Linked DNA regions of Cricetulus griseus. The protein of the gene in region 4 interacts with the protein of the main gene of each other region in a pairwise test. Links are inferred from orthologs where the notes say so. Each region holds a gene or a part of one and is shown on either strand. Other genes may lie near its edges. The genes, in order: Cep76, Arnt, Ppl, Akt1 and Tcl1a.

Region 1 (3,519 bases), on a different chromosome or scaffold from region 4:
AGTTATCACCCACCCCCAATGCACACAAAACACATGCAAATGCAATAAAGCCTTTTAAAATATCACCCCATGTTGCTACTCCAATGCCCTTCCACTTTGTGACACCCCCCCACATACACACATTCCAGTCCTGGAGTTTGCTAAAAGCCAGGGCCTTGTACATGCTTAGCAAGCACTACCACTAACTGTATCACCAGTCCCAGCTTAATAGTTCTTTCCCCATCCCTTTGGTTAATTCTTTTAGTACAAATCTAAACAGCAATGTTATTGTTTTTTCTAAAAAGACAATACTTTCTAGGGTAAATATTTCCTACAACTAAAGCAATGTACAAAAGAAAAACTGGCTTACCTGTGTGTTCACTACTTCTTGAGACAGTGTTTGGTTGAGTGGTGGGTACATCTCAAGTTTTATATTTAAAATTCCCACAGAAACTTTTGATTCTGTTCCTATAAATACAAATATTTAAAACTCTACTTAAACCTTATTTAAAACAAAGAACTTTCAGGACTATGTGTATTTAGTCAACCAAAGTCTAACCAACATAATTTAGGAGTGATGTACTTTATGACTTAAGTAGAGTTATAATACTCAACATTACACTTAATATTCATATTAAAAATGAATCAAACTTTTTAAAATGAACCAAATCAAATTGATTTTTTTCTTTGTTACTAAAGCTTTCTAAAAACATTTTAAGGAACTTTTCTGACCTTGTGGATTTAGAATTCTTAAATTTATATCTTTAATATAATATATAATTTAATGTATATAATTCCAACTAGATGCTACATTAAGTACAAAACCAAAGCAATTGTTAAGAGCCCATTCTGTCTCCATGAAAATCAGAAAGTATCCCAACTTTTTACCATATGCAGTAATTCCATCTACCCTTTCTTATCAAGTTTTCAACTATATATGATCTATATATACAACATACAAACATATATGTATATAAAACTATTCAATATTTCTTAACCAAATCGGTATATACTTATTTCCAGGTCATTGTTATGATTATCATGTTAGACCTATTTGCATCTATCTATCCATCCATCCGTCTGTCTGTCTATCTGTCTATGCACCTAAAGCATGCAGTGTCCTTGGAGGCCAGATCCCCAGGGACTGCAGTTAACGAACAGTCAGCAGTCAGCCACTATATGGGTGCTCTAGAAAAGCAGCCAGTGTTCTCAACCATTCAGCCATCTCTCCAGGCCCAGGTCTATTTTTGAAGACAAAGAACCAGAAATCACTTTAAAAAACAAATCTCATGTGTAAAGAGAATACTAGTTCTTTTTATTTAAGTACAGACATATTTTGAGTCTGACTTAAATTCTGAATGCTTTGCTGTCAACTGACCAAATTTAGCTTTTTTTCTTTTTCTTTGTATGAGTGCATGCACATTATGTAAATGGCTTTGCCCATTCACAAGAGTGTGGAGACCAGAGGCTGATGTGGGGCCACTTCCACTATTGCTCTCAGCCTTAGCTTTTAAGACAAAAGTCTCTCACTGACCTGGAGCTCACCAATTAGCTAGATTGGCTGGGCAGTGAGATCCCAGGATCTGCATGTCTCTACCGCCATCAAGACCTGGGATTACAGATGCATGCCACCATGCCCAGCTTTTTTTGTGGGTGCTGGAGAGACAAACTCAGTTCCTTCTACTTGTGTATCATCTTACCCACTGAGCCATCATGCTATCCCCAAGTTTAACTTGTATGAATAAGTTGTAATACCAATACAATTACATTATAAGTTATAGATAAAACATTAGTGGGTTTTTGTTTTCCTCTTTTTATGAGCTAATACATATTACATAGTAGGCAGTATGCAAAATCCAAGGAAATAATGGTAAGATAATGTACAACCTCTGTCCTTTACTATTCATTGCTACTGACACTGACCAAGTTAGCAACTCTTTCAAATTTTACCTATCCATAATAACGAACTAGAGGAACATCTACTCATTCGTCAATAACCACTGGTATGAAGCTGGCACGGTGGTACATGCCAATAATCCTAGCATGAGGCAGGCCAACTGTTCTGTAGAGGGAACTCAAGGACATCCCAAAATACACTGTGAGATTCTGGCCATAACCAACAAAACAAACAAAAAACCCATAACCCACCCCCTCCAAGAACCAGTGTGGTGACGACGGTGATGTGCTGTACTCTAGGACATACCAGAAAGAAGCTTATGCATACACCTATTCATATGTTTAAAAGAATCCTGCTTTTCTTTATAACCTTATATTTAACAACAACAACAACAAAATGTTGAACCTCCAGAATTTCCATTCATTTTGCAGACAAAAAACATTCTTTGGAGCTGGAGAGATGGTTCAGAGTAAAAGCACACTTCCAGAGGTCCTGAGTTCAATTCCCAGCAACCCAATGGTGGCTCACAGCTATCTATAATGAGATCTGATGCCCTCTTCTGGCATGTAGGCATACATGCAGGCAGAACACTGTATACATAATAAATAAATAAATCTTAAAAAAAAAAAAAATTCCTCAGGATAAGAAAGACTGACTTTGAAGAACTATGGTGGCATTATTCTTCCAGCTATTCCCTAAGCCAACTTACCACTGAAATTCTGATGAAAGCCTGTTTTACAAGTCTCCCTCCTGTAAAGCCCTTTTGACTGATATAAAATAAATTTGCCAACAAACAGTATTTATAAAAAGGTGAAAGTGACATTAATCATCATACCTACACCCATAAGTTCCACAGTCAGATTGGTCACTCCATTTTCTGAGCCCAAAACTGATCTCCATTCCAGAAAATAGGATGCCACTAAAGTAGTCTCACCAAATATGTCTATTTTGATCAGCACCATGTGAATTGGATCACTTATGGATAACATTGTTGTTGAATCAGCCATTCTAGTCCCATCACCTAACAACACAAACCGAAGAAAAAACACACTATATTACGTATTACTTAGTAACACAGAATCATTTTACAAGCTGAGGATATAGCTAAGTGGTAGTGACTGCCTAGCATGCCCGAGGCCTTGGATTCCATACCCAGCACCACACGCACATATGTGTACATATAAGAGAACTGGGGTGTATACACACACACACACACACACACACACACACACACACACACACACACACACTTTTATTGAAAAGTATTCTAAATAAGCTTACATATGATGGAAATAATTTAGTAAGGTCTCTCAAAGTATGCCAGAATCTGGGGGAAGAATATCACCCCATTCTATGACTGACAACTGCCAGGACTAGCAGAATAAGATGAATTATTTAGAAGTTACTTAGTTATGTTACTTACAGTAGTCAGTACTTTCTGATCCATAAAAAGTCTAATCTTCAAAAGAACTTATATTATGTACTATTACAAAAGAAAAGGCCATCAGCTAAATGAGTTAGCACACACCTTAAATCCAAGCACTCTGGAAGTAGAGGAGGGAGGGTCTGTGAGTGCAAGGCTAGTCAGAGCTACATAGTGAGACCCACCTCAAAACTCCACATACACACCAAAAAGAGAAACC
Region 2 (3,519 bases), on a different chromosome or scaffold from region 4:
GTTGGCAAAGGAGTGAATCTCATTTAAATGGTGGAGGGGAGAATGACACAGTAAACATACAATGACAACAACCAAGTACCTTATACACTGACCGATAACCATTCTCTAATAGAACCTAGCAGAAAGTCAAGGACAAGTGTGTATGAAAAAAATGCCAGGTAACAGATGAAATACATGCATAATTGTTTTATTATGTGAACACAGGGGAAAGAAACTACTGTACATTTTAATTTCCCTATTTTATTTACAGTATAATTAAGATACAAATTAACCTAACCACTGATGAAACATTTTCTAAGAATGAGCCACACAGTGGATATTCTGCATGTGAATAAAATTTAACAAGTATATTCATTAAGGGAAGTTTTTTTATAAGCTTCTGCCAGATTCGACAAATCAATGAAAGGAATTAAATGTCTCTAATGCCTCAGCAAAATGAAGACTTTTTTCCCCCACTCATTTGCTATCCACCCAACTCTCACCTGTCAGAGCATTTTCTGACGTAGAAAGCTGCTCTCTGAGTTTATCCACATCGTCTGGGTGCACCTGATCGTAGAGTGTACTCCCAAACCATTCAGACTGTGGTTGGTTCAAAACAGGAGTCACCGAGTCAGAGACATAAACCACTCGGCCAGTCTCACACGAGACAATAAACAGAAAGCCATCTGCTGCCTCCAAGATCAAATGTTTCAGTTCCTGGTCAAGAAAATATTTCAAAGTTAATAGTGAACTCTGAAAAATCATGTATTTCTAGTCATGGAAAGCAGCAAGATTCTTTGGTATATATGCATTGCTCCATTAGGAATTGAAGGTCATACCTCAGCCAAGCCACGGGTTCCCACCCTAAATATCCACTGGCAAAGTGTTTACAATAAGTATTCTATTTCTCTAAGTTGCTAGACACGACACCTCTTTCTTTTAATACTCAAGGGAAAATAAAAAGGCTTACAATAATGAGACACTTAGAAGGGGGCAGGGGACTTGGACTCATGGCAATCATTTAGCTTTGGCTTCTCAAGAACTGGAATTAGAACTAACACATATAGCTAATAACTGGCTTAAAAACAACACAAGAAGACAGGTTCTCATGTAGATCAGTCTGAACTCAAACTTGCTACCTAGTGAAGGATGCCGTGAGTTCCTGGTCATCCTGTCTCCACCAGGTCCTGGGAGTCCAGGTGGCCAGCACCACCCCGACTGTACGGATGTCAAATTAACCAGGGTTTTGAGCACGCTAGCTAGCACTCTGTCAAGTGAGGTACACCCCAGCCTCTAACAGTAGACTTGTTGGTCCCATCCTCTGTGCTCTCTTTTTAGGATCACTTCACTTTCCCTGTTTCCATTCAAGCTTATAAACACAAAAATTTCCTAATTCTATATAAATCTTCCCTCAGCTTGTCCAGGGTATGTTGTTATCATTAAAGGATTTAGGTATAATTTTTAGGCAGTAATGAACCATAAACACATAATTAGACTACTGTCATTTTGAGGGTAGATTAAAGAGGATAAAAGCAGAGAGAGCATGTTACACTCAATGGTTCTATTCTCTCTTGCTTGTCAATTACTCCTCAATCTTCACTCTAAACCACCATCTTTGTTTTGTTGTTTTAAGGGGTTTACTTACTTGCATCTTCTTAATTGCCAATTCGGGTCCCTTTCCTGGATCCTCATCATTTTTTTAAATTCAATCTCTCTCCACAATCTGATAATACTACCCACTGCACTCTATAAATTTCCTTTTTGCTTAGCATCTTCCGAAACTCCATTTCTGCTCCAAGTTCTCTCCCTTTGTTCACATGTTACATGCAGACATTTCCTAAGTCCTGTTCTCTGATCATCTTCTCTTCACAATCTATACTCATGTTTCTACACCATTAAATAAAACCCAAATCCATGCCAGGCAGTGGTGGCGCAAGCCTTTAATCCTAGCACTTGGGAGGCAGAGGCAGGTGGATCTCTGCAAGTTCAGGGCCAGCCTGATCTACACAGTGAGTTCCAGTACAGCCAGGACTACACAGAGAAACCCTGTCTCAAAAAAAAAAAACAAAACAAAACAAAACAACAACAAAAAAAACAAGTTCACACCTCTGAATCTTCCCACCAGGCCACCACACCCCTCCCCCAATAATTTCCAAGTATCATTTAATTGAAAGTAACTCACAGAGATGGCCTGTATCTTGACTGCTGGGATTAAAGCAGTGTACCACCATGCCCAGCACCTAATTCCTCTCCTTCTTTATCTATGTTCCTGTAAGGCTCATTTACTGTTCCTCTGTTGTAACACTAGCTTTGCTCTGAGTTATCAATTTACATATCTGTTTCTACCACTGATCTTTTACCATTCTTTATATTTCTTATATCACAAAGTATCTGATTTGCCACAAAAGCAGCATACCTGGGGTCTGTTTAATCAATTCCTGCACCTATTCTAAGGAAGTAAACTGAGTATGTTTATGTGCATAGCTATTAAATGTGCTCCATGTGCTAGCAAATAGACCACCTTATTTGGAGAACTTACTCCTTTCTCTCAAGCCATATTCCTATAATTCTTAGATGAACATGCTGATATAACAGTAAATGTCCTTTACCTTATTCTTTACAATGCCTGTATTTTCTAAAACTTTCCACAGTAATCACACATTGCATGTGTATATATATTTATTTTGGAGAAGGTCTTATGTATACCAGGTTAGCCCTTAGGAAGATGGCTTCAACTTCTTACTCCTACTCTAGTGCTGAAATTACAGGTTATGGGGTACCACATCCAGTTGTATATGGTGTTGGGGGAACAAACTCGGGGCTTTATGCTTTCTAGGTATGAACTATCATGTATCTTTTTTGTTTTTGAAACAGGGTCTTGCTATGTAGCTCTGGCTGGCCTGGAATTCTCCATGTAGACCAGGCTGGAATTGGCTTCCTTAGTACTGGGATTAAAGGCATGCACCACCATGCCCTGGCCAATCACAGATTTTTAATTGAAATGTAATTTGTCAGCCATAGGCACTCTCATTCAAGTGTAGAGACTAAATAAATTTAGACATCCCACCGTTACATAGTTATCACACACAAAATATTGACAAAGAAGCCATCTGCTCTCCATATGCCTCTTTCCATCATTTTGCATTTACGTATGTTACCACTCACATATTTACTATGTTCAAATTTAATCTTTCTTCTGGCAGTAGTGGAGACTGAACCTAGGGCCTCCAGCACTGGAGGTGAGTGCTCTACCAAGGAGCTACAGCCATAGCTCTTAGATGGAGTTCCGGGGTTCTAGGAAGTATTTCTGTTTTCATGTGTATATCAAATGTAACAGAGCATATCACAGAGTAACAGGGATTGTCTGTTAGACTCCTGTTAAAACTGGAAGTTGCTTCAGGGCTGAGACAGATTTCTTCCATGTTCCAGAATCCAAACCCAAGGAATCCTGGTTCCATACATGTGGTAACCTCTCTGAAATTGCCTCCTTCTTTCACATTACAGGCTGTATGTACAACTCAAGTTCTAAAATACCTAAAA
Region 3 (4,164 bases), on a different chromosome or scaffold from region 4:
CACTACTGAGCAGGCACTGCTCATAGTTTGATCCCAGCCTGAAAGCTGAAATGGTGAGGAGGGCCAGCAGCTCCAGTGACCCAGTCTGGATAAATAGAAAGAGGCAGAAAGGAGGCCTTCTGCCCTCAATATTACTGTGTGATATGCTAAAGCCCGTGCTGTTTTTGTGAGTGTATGTGCAATATTTTCTTGTGCTGTAGTTTCCAGTTACAACCACTGATGATGGAGCATATAGGAAAGGGAAAGAAGAAAATATCAAGGTTATTAAATCATGAAAGGTGGGAGCATGTCACTCACTCATACTGAACAATGCTGAGCTGAGTTGCCTGCCCAGCTGGTGTCTGTGCTGGTATTACAATAGCTGCTCTGTAAGCAGCCAGATACAGTGTGGATAAAACACTTAGCTCAGAAGCCTGCATGACAACTGGGGAACAGAAGATACCCAGGAGGTTGCTGAGTAGGAGCAAGCCAGCCATCCCCCTCCAGGAAAAGCTAGGCAGAAGAGGCCTACTTCTGCCCAGAAACCAAGACTGCCAGCTCCTGAATGGACATATCCTTGTTGACATAGCGGTCATACTGAGCAGGGGTTAGCCTTCCACTACGCAGGGCATCCTCAATAGAGAACTTCTTGCCAGACTTTCTGTCATGAATCACTGATGACTCCCCATTAGGGCCTTTCACTGATATCTCCTCCCAGTCGCATTCCTGGCTTCTGAGCTTCACAAACATGTTCCAGTCGATGAGCCCAGCCCGGTGGGCCTCCTCTGGGGACAGCTCTCGGCCTGTGTCAGGGTCAATGACCACTATGGAGCGCCTCAGGTGGTTTTCCCTCTGCTCTCTCTTGACGGCCACAGAGCCCAGTCGCCTCTGCAGTTCATCGATCTCCAGATCCTTGTCCTTGGACATCTTCTTGAGGTCATCCAGTTCCTTCTCTAGAGACCACAGCCTAGAGTTGAGGTGGGTTCCAGAGTCCACCTTTGTAATGTTCCTCAGATCTCGAGTTTCTGTTGCTGCCATTTCAATCTCTGATTGGAGTCTCCGGGTCTCCAACTGCAGGTTTTGCCGCTCTAGCTGCAGCTTGTGATTTTCTTCTCTCAGGAAATCTAGTTCCTTGGATGACTTAGAATTGTAGAATTCTAACTCAGATAACTTGGCTTCCAACCGGGTAATCTCTATATCTAGCTCCCTCTTGCTCCGGCTCTCCTCTTCCAGGCTCTTCTTGAGCCGCTGGATCTCTTGCTCAGTGTCACCTTTTTCCACCTGGATGCTCTCAGAGAAGACTACCTTTTCCTTGATCTCTGTCTTCTCCAGGGTAGCCAGCTTTCTACGAAGGGGTTCAAGCTCGCCCTCCAGTAGCTGCCTCCGATGCCGCTCTTCCTCCAGCTGGGCTCGGAGCAGGGCATGCTCCCTGGTCTGCTGTGGGTCCTGCTGCAGCACCACCTTCTGTGTGTGGGTCACTTTCTCACCAGCCTTGGCTTCCTCCTGCTCTAGTACAGCCAGCCGCTGCTGCAGCCTCTGCACCTCCAGCTCAGCTGCCCTGCGTGCCTGCCGCTCACGCTCCAGTTCCTCCAACTGCCTCTCCAGCTCTGCTCGGCGGTGCTGTAGCCTCCGCAGCTCCACACGTAGCTTGTCGATCTGTCGAAGCTCAGCATCAATGCTGTCTGTGAAGGCAGTCACCTCAGCTCTTAAGTCTGGCTCATCTTCGTACTGCACCACCTCCTGGCGTACAACCCTTTCTTTGCCCTGTGCCAATTCTTCCTCCTTGCATCGGATCTTCTCTTCCTGGGATGCCCTCTCCCCTTCTAGGTCCACCTGTTTCTTCTGTTCTTCTGACAGCTTTATACGCAGAGACTCTACCTCCTTCTTGGTTTGGGGGTCTTCCTGGAACTGCAAGATCTCCTGGACCACCTCTCTAGTCTGCACCTGTGGCTTGGTGTCCTTCAGGGCCTGGATCTCCTGCTTCAGCTGGTAGATCTCCAGGTCACACCTTTCTATTAGCCTGGTCTTGTCCATGATCTCCTCCCTGAGCCGCTGGAGCTCCTGCTCTGTCTCTGGGTCAGTCGTGTATTTTATGACCTCTTTGGTCACCTCTTTGACTTCTACCTGTGGCCCACGCTTCCGGAGGGCCTCCAACTCACTCTGGTAGCTCTTCAGCTGCTCCTCAGCAGCTCTGAATTTGCGCTCCTGCTCCACCAGCTCCAGTCGGAGGTTGGCCACTTCACTCTCTGCCTTGGGATCTGGTCGCACGATCTCTCGGACCTTCTCCTGTACCACCACCTTGGCATTCTCCTCTTCCAGTGCCCATATCTTTCTGAGAAGCTCTGTCTTCTCCCGCTGTCCAGTGCGTGCCTTGGCAGCCTCATCCTCATACTGGCGGGTGAGGTCATTGACTTCCCTCCCTGTGGCTGCATCTTTCTCTACCTTGAGCACCTCCTTGACGGTGATCTTGCCTTCTGCCATGGCCCGTTCTTTCTCCAGTCTTCTGAGCTTGGCCTGCAGGAAACTCAGCTCCTCTTCCTGCTTCTCCCTGAGTGTGCCTTCCTGCTGGTGTTCCTCTTGCAGCCTTCGGTATTCTGCTTCCAGCTGAGGGTCATTCTGCAACTTTACCACCTCCCTCTCAGTGACCTTCTCCTGCACTCTGCTCTTCTCAGCAGCCAGGGATGCCACACGCTGCTGTAGGAGGAGCACCTCAGCCTCTCGGGCACCTTTCTGCCGCCGCAGTGCCTCCAGCTCCTCCCGAAGCTGCATGACCTCATCCTCTTGGGCTTTGTCTGGCTCAATGCGCAAGACCTCCTTGACCACATATTCTTGTCCCCCATCCCTGGTCTCCTGCTCTAGGGACTGCAGCCGAAGCTGTAGTGCTCCCAGCTCCTCCTGCAACAGCTGGTTCTTGTGTTGTTCATCAGCCAGGGTCTGCTGCAGCTGCTGGAAGCTCTCCTCAAGGGTGGGGTCTGGCACCTTCTTCAGCACCTCCTTCCTCACCAGTGACTCTTGAGGTCCCTGATCCTTCAGGGTCTGGATTTCCTCCTGGGCACTCCTGACCTCATTTTCCAGCTGCTGCCTTCGCTCCATCTCCTCTTCCAGTTCCTTCTTAATCTTCCATGTTTCCTCCGTGCTGGAGCCCAGCTTGCCCCCTTGCAGGGTCTCATGGGTCACTCCTGCCTCTGGCTGCTATGGCAAAGAAGACAATGGATGTATGGTTAGAGACAAGCCGGTCTGCTCACCTAAACAGGTTGGGTTAGTTGTCCTGTGGTCTTCTGGGGACTCCATTGGTCTTCTAGAGTTACTTTTACTCTTTTAAAAATTGAACAAGGCAAAATTTTGTAGGCACAGAGAAGTTTGAAGTGACACCAGTCTCCTTACCTCTGCCCTGACCCTAGGAGTATCTGTTGTCCTTGGAGACATTTTCAATGTATATTTTTAGTGACCTCCACGTTTACTTTTTCTATGCAGACAGTGCCATTAGTGACTGGAGGGGCAGAGTACCATCTTTGCTCAAGGTGCCACATCATTGCTTAACAGCAGTGTTTCCCCTGTGTCGACATGGTTTAAGCCACCACACTGCTGAGGAGTGCTGAGTTACTGCTAGTTTCTGGATGTGTCAGATAAATCTGTTATAAATGTCATCAGGTCCTAAAAGGTAATTTTTGGGGTTGGAAGGATCAAGTCCTTGGAAGAACAAGCACTTGAGTTCTGATCCTAGCCATGATATGAAAATGTTGGGTGTGGTGCTCTAGTGTGTATGCACTTGTAATCCCAGCACCCAGGAGGTGGAGACTGGAAGCTCCTTGGGGCTTGCTGGCCAACTAGTCTAACTTAATTGATAAGTTCCAAGTCAATAGAAAACCTTCTTGTCTCCACACACATGAGCATGTACATGCACCTGCACATAATGTGAATCCACATACACAAACATACCATTAAAAATAACTTTGGGGACTAGAGAGATGACTAGAAGGTTAAGAGCACGTGTTGCTCTTACAGAGGGCCCAGGTTCAATTTTCAGCACTCACATGGTGGCTCACAACCATCTGAAACTCCAGTTCTGGGTGATGTAATGCCTTCTGACTTCCTCGGGCCCCAGGCACACATGTGGTACACATACATACAAGCAGGCAAAACACTCGTAAAAAATCAAACAAACAAACAAACAAAAAAACTTTG
Region 4 (3,519 bases):
GTCCCAGGCAGAACTGGGCTGTCACAATGTGACACAGAGAACAAGGACATAGATTCTCAAGCTCCACGCTCTCAAAGATAGTTTCACAATATCCTCAACTTTATAACCCTCACCAATCCTGGCACTCCAGCTAAGGCGATCACAAGACCCAGGGCAAAGGACTACCAATGGTCTTCCCAGGAAACAATACAGAAATGGTTCCCAGGATGTCTTAGGCTCCTAGAACTGGGAACCTTCTTCTCAGTCTACCCAAGAGTTCCCAGTGAATGTCCTTGAGTGCCTGTTTAGTCCCCATTAAAGGGACCCTGGTCAACCCACCCTCTAAACCAGGTCCAGTCACCACATGCTGGAACCTTCAGCCTTACAGCAAGGGCTCCCTGGCCCAGCCAGAGCTGGCCACTGGCCAGCTCTAGAGGAGGTGACTCAAAGCTAGCACTGCCCAGCACCCCAGGACAAAACCTGCTGGCCTGCCTAGCCATCTCACTCAACCCAAATGGCCGAGACACTTACGTGCCACTGAGAAGTTGTTGAGGGGGGACTCTCGATGCTCCACGTCCTGAGGCCGTTCCTTGTAGCCAATAAAGGTGCCGTCATTCTTGAGGAGGAAGTAGCGTGGCCGCCAGGTTTTAATGTATTCCCCTGCGGGGGGGGGGGGGCATAAGGAGCTGCATGTGAACAACACTGCAGTGGCCCTGACACCTGAGAGGACCTAGGCACATAGAGGTAGGGAAGGGATCTGGGCCACTTCCTTCCCAGAAGGCACTGGCACTGGGGCAGAGCTCCAGTGCATGTTGCTGGGAGCATCTTCCAGGGCTCTGCCTGTGCAGCAGAGTCAAGAGGTGCCATGGCTGGAACGAGTGTGCGCGTGTGTGTGTGTGCGCGCGTGCGCACGTGTGTGTCCTAGCTGAGACCTGTGCTGTGTCCAGCTGAGTCCTGCCCTGGTCACCCAGGTACACAGGAACATTGTTCCCTCCTCCAGTTTTGCAGCATCAGCCAGAAGCAGGCACCACACTCAGACATCAGAGCAGATGTCCTCTGTGATCTCCCAGCGACTGTCATTTTTCATACTGACACCCGGAAAAAATGTTTCATTTACATTTTGCCGAGCAAGGAGTCTGAACAACAGGGAGCTAACTAATTAGGCAACTTCTTCATCTGAGGGGACACTAGACTGAGGACAGGAGGGGCAGCCCACAGGGCTGGGGTCCCTGAGCTCTATCTGAGATGAACTTTGCTTGTCCCACTGAGTCCTGAGCAAGAGCACCTAGAGGGGTATGCAGGGAGCAACTGTTTGGACCAGGCCACCTGCCACCAGGTGCTCCAGGATGCAGACCAAGTCACAAGGACAAACACCCTGGTCTCAGGCACCAGGCAGTGCACCTAACGCATTTTCCACAGCCCCAGGGAGGCTAGCTAGCTTTCCTTCTCTACCCTCTCATGGTATGTACTAAATCCAGGTGTTCTCTGAGAACACGTGCAGGTGAGATACAGTCTACCCAGTATAGTTCACCAGCTCAGACTCTCAGGGCCTTCCAGGGTACACGAAGTAGGGGCTCTGGGCAGTATATTGCCAGACTCCTCACATGACCTACCTCCCCCGACTCCACCGTCTAGTCCCTTTCAATTGACACCCTGGAGGCATTTCCGACACCAGCCTTGCTCTGCATGACCCTACACAGCCCTGCATGAATCAGGATAAGAGAAAGCCTAAGTGACGGACAAAGGCTCTTGGTGAGAGAAGAAGTGATAGAGCCACTACCAGGCCAACACCCCACACACACTCCAGGGAGCTGGTAGCTATTAGAGCTAGGGATCCTGTCCCCTCGTCACTGCAGATCTCCTAAGCCTGCCATCAGCACTGACAAAGACCCCAGCCTCACAATGGAGAGGGGCAGCAAAGAGAGCAAGCTCGAGCTCCTCCCGACTCCATTGCATGTGCCCAAATGTGCCTGGTGGTCCTCCAGGGCCTAGGCTAGATTATTCTGCTTCTCTCCAAAGGCCTACAGTCCGTAAGTAGCTGGAACTAGGACACCTGGAAACCCATTCCTGCCTCCCATCTTTAGTTCCCAGAAGCTCAGCTCCCCAGCCGGCCACTTCCCACAGCCACTGGGGGCTTCAAAGCAATGACCAATGCCAACCCTCCCTCACTCAGGAGGGCCTAAGGCTCAGCAACCTGCCTACACAACAAAAACACAGAACAGGGTTCCCATCCAGGTTTTCGAAGACCCCTGAACCCCTGCAGGCACCAGCCTGGCTTCTGACCAGGTGGCACACACCTGCAGTATTCACATGGCCAGTGGCCCCATGACAGCCCCTCCCCTGGCATAGGGCCTCGAAGGCTCAGTGGGCAGGCAGGGGCCCTGGGTAATATAGCAGAGCCAATGGGGGGTGAGCAGCCCCCCCACCCCGTTCCTCCCTAGGCCCCCGCTGTGCACGCCCACCCGCCAGCACCAGTCTGGAGCTGTCGGCCCCTGATGGAGTGCCTCCATCTCACCAGCTGCTGCTCCCCGGGACACTAACTGAGTACGGAGGCTGATGAGCAACACACTCGCACCCCAGAAATCCATCTTGATTTACCAACTGCTGCCCACCCCACTGTGCCCAGTGCAGGCCCCCAGACAAGACCACCACCCTATCTACAACTGGCTCTTAGCCTGCATGACCAGCCCCTAGGCCAGGCAGATTCCAGAATGTGGACCTGGAGGTACAGGCAGGGACACTCACCAGGCAGAGAAAGCCAAGTACCCAGAAGGGCCTAGGTGCCCTTCCCCTCCCTGGCCTCACAGAGGCCTCCTGGCCAAGGAGAAATGTAAAGTGAAGTGACCTCATCAGGTCTTTCCCGGTGGCGGCCTCTTCCAGAGGAAAGGGAGCCACAGTTCTGACACACAGATCTCTTTCTTCATCTCCGGCCTCAAGGTCTAGCCAAATGGTCACTGGGGGTACCAGCTAAGCCAGCTGCAGCCTAGGATGTGGCCTGCATGTTAATGAGTTCAGTCCAGACAGACCCCAAGCCCCACCCCTCCAAAAGAACTGTGCCAACACATGACAGACAAATACAAGAGGTGGCTACACTGGTCCTTCATGGCCACGTGGTATCTAGGAATACCCCTGCCCCCTTCTGGGGCCTCCCTCCAGCTTTTCACACTCCAACAAGGAGGGACTGATACTGAGCCCCTGCAGAAGTGCTAGGCTCTGGCCCATCCAGGCTCTTCTCTACTCCCTCACCCCATCTGGATGCCTGGTACCCTGAAAACAGGTAAGGCGGAGTCCAGCTGGTGAAGCGCAGCAGCAGCTGGGGCCTTCCACCTGTCCACACAGCCTCTGGGAACACAAGTACTCACGGCCCACTAGAGGTGCTGTGCTCCACCTGGAGTTTCCTCACCAGGCCCGTGTTCACACAGACATGAACAGATGACAAATAACCAGGTGCCACCTCCACAGTGTGGTCCCCATGGTTCTTGAGGCCAGATGCCTGACAACAGCTTCTCGTTGAACAACAAAACCAGCCAACAGCAGACA
Region 5 (2,156 bases), about 8.1 Mb from region 4:
CCTTCCATCTTATACCTGGGCCAAGGCAAACACCAACCCAGTGAGGAGAATGGGTAAGATGGAGAAATCTGCCTCTGTAAACGTCACACAGTGATGGGGGCTGGAGAGATGGCTCAGAGGTTGAGAGCACTGACTGCTCTTCCAGTGGTCCTGAGTTGGGTTCCCAGCAACCACATGGTGGCTCACAACCATCCGGATGTTATAAGATCTGGTGCCCTCTTCTGGTGTGCGGATATACATGGAAGCAGAATGTTGTATACATAATAAATAAATAAAATCTAAAAAAAAAAAAAAGTCACACAGTGACAACTGATCATAAACAACGGTAACCTGTGGTGGCCCATGAACACGGCTGTAGCTGTAGCTCCTAGGGGGGTAAAGGAAGAGACATGGACACTTCTGGGAAGCCTGCCTCACCCTGGGCTCTCTCTGAGGACAGCTGCTGGGGAGGAGCCGGCATGGCTTTCATGGAAAAGGGTACTACTCCTTCCTGATGGAGCCCCGGTGCACTCACCATGTCATGGATATTCTTCAGACTCCATCAGTTCAAGTAGCATGTCTTCTACGCCTCTGAACTAAGGTGGGGAAGGAGAGAGACAAGAGTGATCAGACCCAGCCCCAAGAACTCCCCTTCTATGCTGGCTTAGCTTTCTTTAGCCTGGGGCAGCACTGGGACCTGAGGGGCTAGCCCTCTCCACTGGTCTCAGTCAGTGACTACCACAGAGCTCCTTGTGCTAAGGAGTTTGGTTGAGACCTCAGAAGATAGCCTCTTCTATTTCTTTAACCCATTTAAAAACAAAAATCTGCAGTTAGCTCCCCTTCCATTAGCTTAGCTTCTGGTACTAGGATGGAGGGATAACCCAAGCCAACCCCAAGTTGAGAGCAGGACCACTGGAGATTACCCACTCAGTCCGTAGGATAAGCTGTGCTTGCCTTGATGTGGTACAGTATCTGCCAGAGCATGGAGTCACTGCCTCTGTACTTTTTCCCTGGGTATAGTTGCCACATTAAAGGCAGCTCGTATGCCTCCAGCTGTTCAGGGATCATAGCAAGCCCCAAGGGGACGTCTTGCTGGCGCAAGATCACCTGGAATTTTTCATCAGTCTGCAGAGGAAGAACAAAACACACCTTCACCTCTTGCTTACCACTGCCAGGCTCCCTCAGGCACAACACCCAGTGTCCATCCTATCACTGACCCAATACACTGAGCAGTTACTGCCCCTGGTTTCAACTCCACAGGCTACACACAATCTTAGGGACTCTGGCAGGGTCTAGCCATCCTTGAGGGTGCACTTTTTCCTGCCAACGCTCCTACTGCTAAGCCACCGAGTCCTTCAACTTGGTCCTATAGGTGTGGGGGGAGGGAACCTTAAGGTGTCATTTCTTTGGCATCATCCACTTTTCCTTTCACTTATTTACTTATTAATTTAAGACAAAGTCTCTTATTGGCTTGGATCATGCATGGGCACACATGGCACACACAAACACACACACAAAGCGAGGCTGTTTGGTCAGTGACCGTGCTTCAGAGGTCTGCTTCCCCAGTGCTGAATTACTAGCAACATCTACAACACTCGGTTTCTCAAACTTGAACTCTGGGGATTGAAGTCAAGACCTTACGTTTGCAAGGCAAGCACTTTACCAACTCTATTCCAGCCCTGCCTGGGTTTTGACTTTGCTTTTGTCCAATGCCCTCTTTCAAGGGAGGAACCAGTCTATCTATGGACCCCTGTGGGAACTGTAAACAAAACGCACTGTCTTTTCTATCAGAGGGTTAAATGAGATGAAGCTCCATCTCTAAAGAGGCTATCTAGCAAAAGAAAATCCCCTTCCAGTCAGCATATTTCTAAGATCAAAGTCTGTGCTCAAGGTTGTGTCCTATTTTCAAAGTTACACTTTGCTTGTGGACTGCACAGCTCTAAGTTATTCAACTGTGAAGAGGCTGAACTCTTGACCAACCAGAATGGGACTCAGGACCCCTGTGGCACAGCTGCACAACCTACGGAAGTATAACTTTCTGTCTTGCTGAATGCTTTGGGTTGTGTGGTCATTTTCTTGAGACGCCCCCACACCCATTTCTAACACTGTGATTCTGGTGACAGGCGTTGTTTGCCCATCGCTGGCACAGCTCTCCTGGGCCATGGCAACTATTTCTA

The links.
Region 1: the proteins of Akt1 (region 4) and Cep76 interact in binary tests that used the Homo sapiens proteins (3 or more experiments, as listed by UniProt). The link is inferred for Cricetulus griseus from reciprocal best matches to the Homo sapiens genes AKT1 and CEP76.
Region 2: the proteins of Akt1 (region 4) and Arnt interact in a protein complementation assay, tested with the Homo sapiens proteins (2 studies listed by BioGRID and IntAct, with this or other methods). The link is inferred for Cricetulus griseus from reciprocal best matches to the Homo sapiens genes AKT1 and ARNT.
Region 3: the proteins of Akt1 (region 4) and Ppl interact in a two-hybrid assay, tested with the Homo sapiens proteins (2 studies listed by BioGRID and IntAct). The link is inferred for Cricetulus griseus from reciprocal best matches to the Homo sapiens genes AKT1 and PPL.
Region 5: the proteins of Akt1 (region 4) and Tcl1a interact in binary tests that used the Homo sapiens proteins (3 or more experiments, as listed by UniProt). The link is inferred for Cricetulus griseus from reciprocal best matches to the Homo sapiens genes AKT1 and TCL1A.

Annotation. Positions count from the first base shown.
Region 1 is NC_048595.1:171,774,412-171,777,930, reverse strand, and holds part of Cep76 (centrosomal protein of 76 kDa), read right to left. Parts: intron 2,898-3,519; coding exon 2,712-2,897; intron 448-2,711; coding exon 350-447; intron 1-349. UniProt on the Homo sapiens protein: Centrosomal protein involved in regulation of centriole duplication. Required to limit centriole duplication to once per cell cycle by preventing centriole reduplication.
Region 2 is NW_023276806.1:61,036,224-61,039,742, forward strand, and holds part of Arnt (aryl hydrocarbon receptor nuclear translocator), read right to left. Parts: intron 697-3,519; coding exon 483-696; intron 1-482. UniProt on the Homo sapiens protein: Required for activity of the AHR. Upon ligand binding, AHR translocates into the nucleus, where it heterodimerizes with ARNT and induces transcription by binding to xenobiotic response elements (XRE).
Region 3 is NC_048600.1:41,609,843-41,614,006, reverse strand, and holds the end of Ppl (periplakin), read right to left. Parts: intron 3,172-4,164; coding exon 508-3,171; downstream 1-507. UniProt on the Homo sapiens protein: Component of the cornified envelope of keratinocytes. May link the cornified envelope to desmosomes and intermediate filaments. May act as a localization signal in PKB/AKT-mediated signaling.
Region 4 is NC_048598.1:181,392,291-181,395,809, reverse strand, and holds part of Akt1 (RAC-alpha serine/threonine-protein kinase), read right to left. Parts: intron 640-3,519; coding exon 511-639; intron 1-510. UniProt on the Homo sapiens protein: AKT1 is one of 3 closely related serine/threonine-protein kinases (AKT1, AKT2 and AKT3) called the AKT kinase, and which regulate many processes including metabolism, proliferation, cell survival, growth and angiogenesis.
Region 5 is NC_048598.1:189,490,435-189,492,590, reverse strand, and holds the end of Tcl1a (T-cell leukemia/lymphoma protein 1A), read right to left. Parts: intron 1,105-2,156; coding exon 934-1,104; intron 576-933; coding exon 519-575; downstream 1-518. UniProt on the Homo sapiens protein: Enhances the phosphorylation and activation of AKT1, AKT2 and AKT3. Promotes nuclear translocation of AKT1. Enhances cell proliferation, stabilizes mitochondrial membrane potential and promotes cell survival.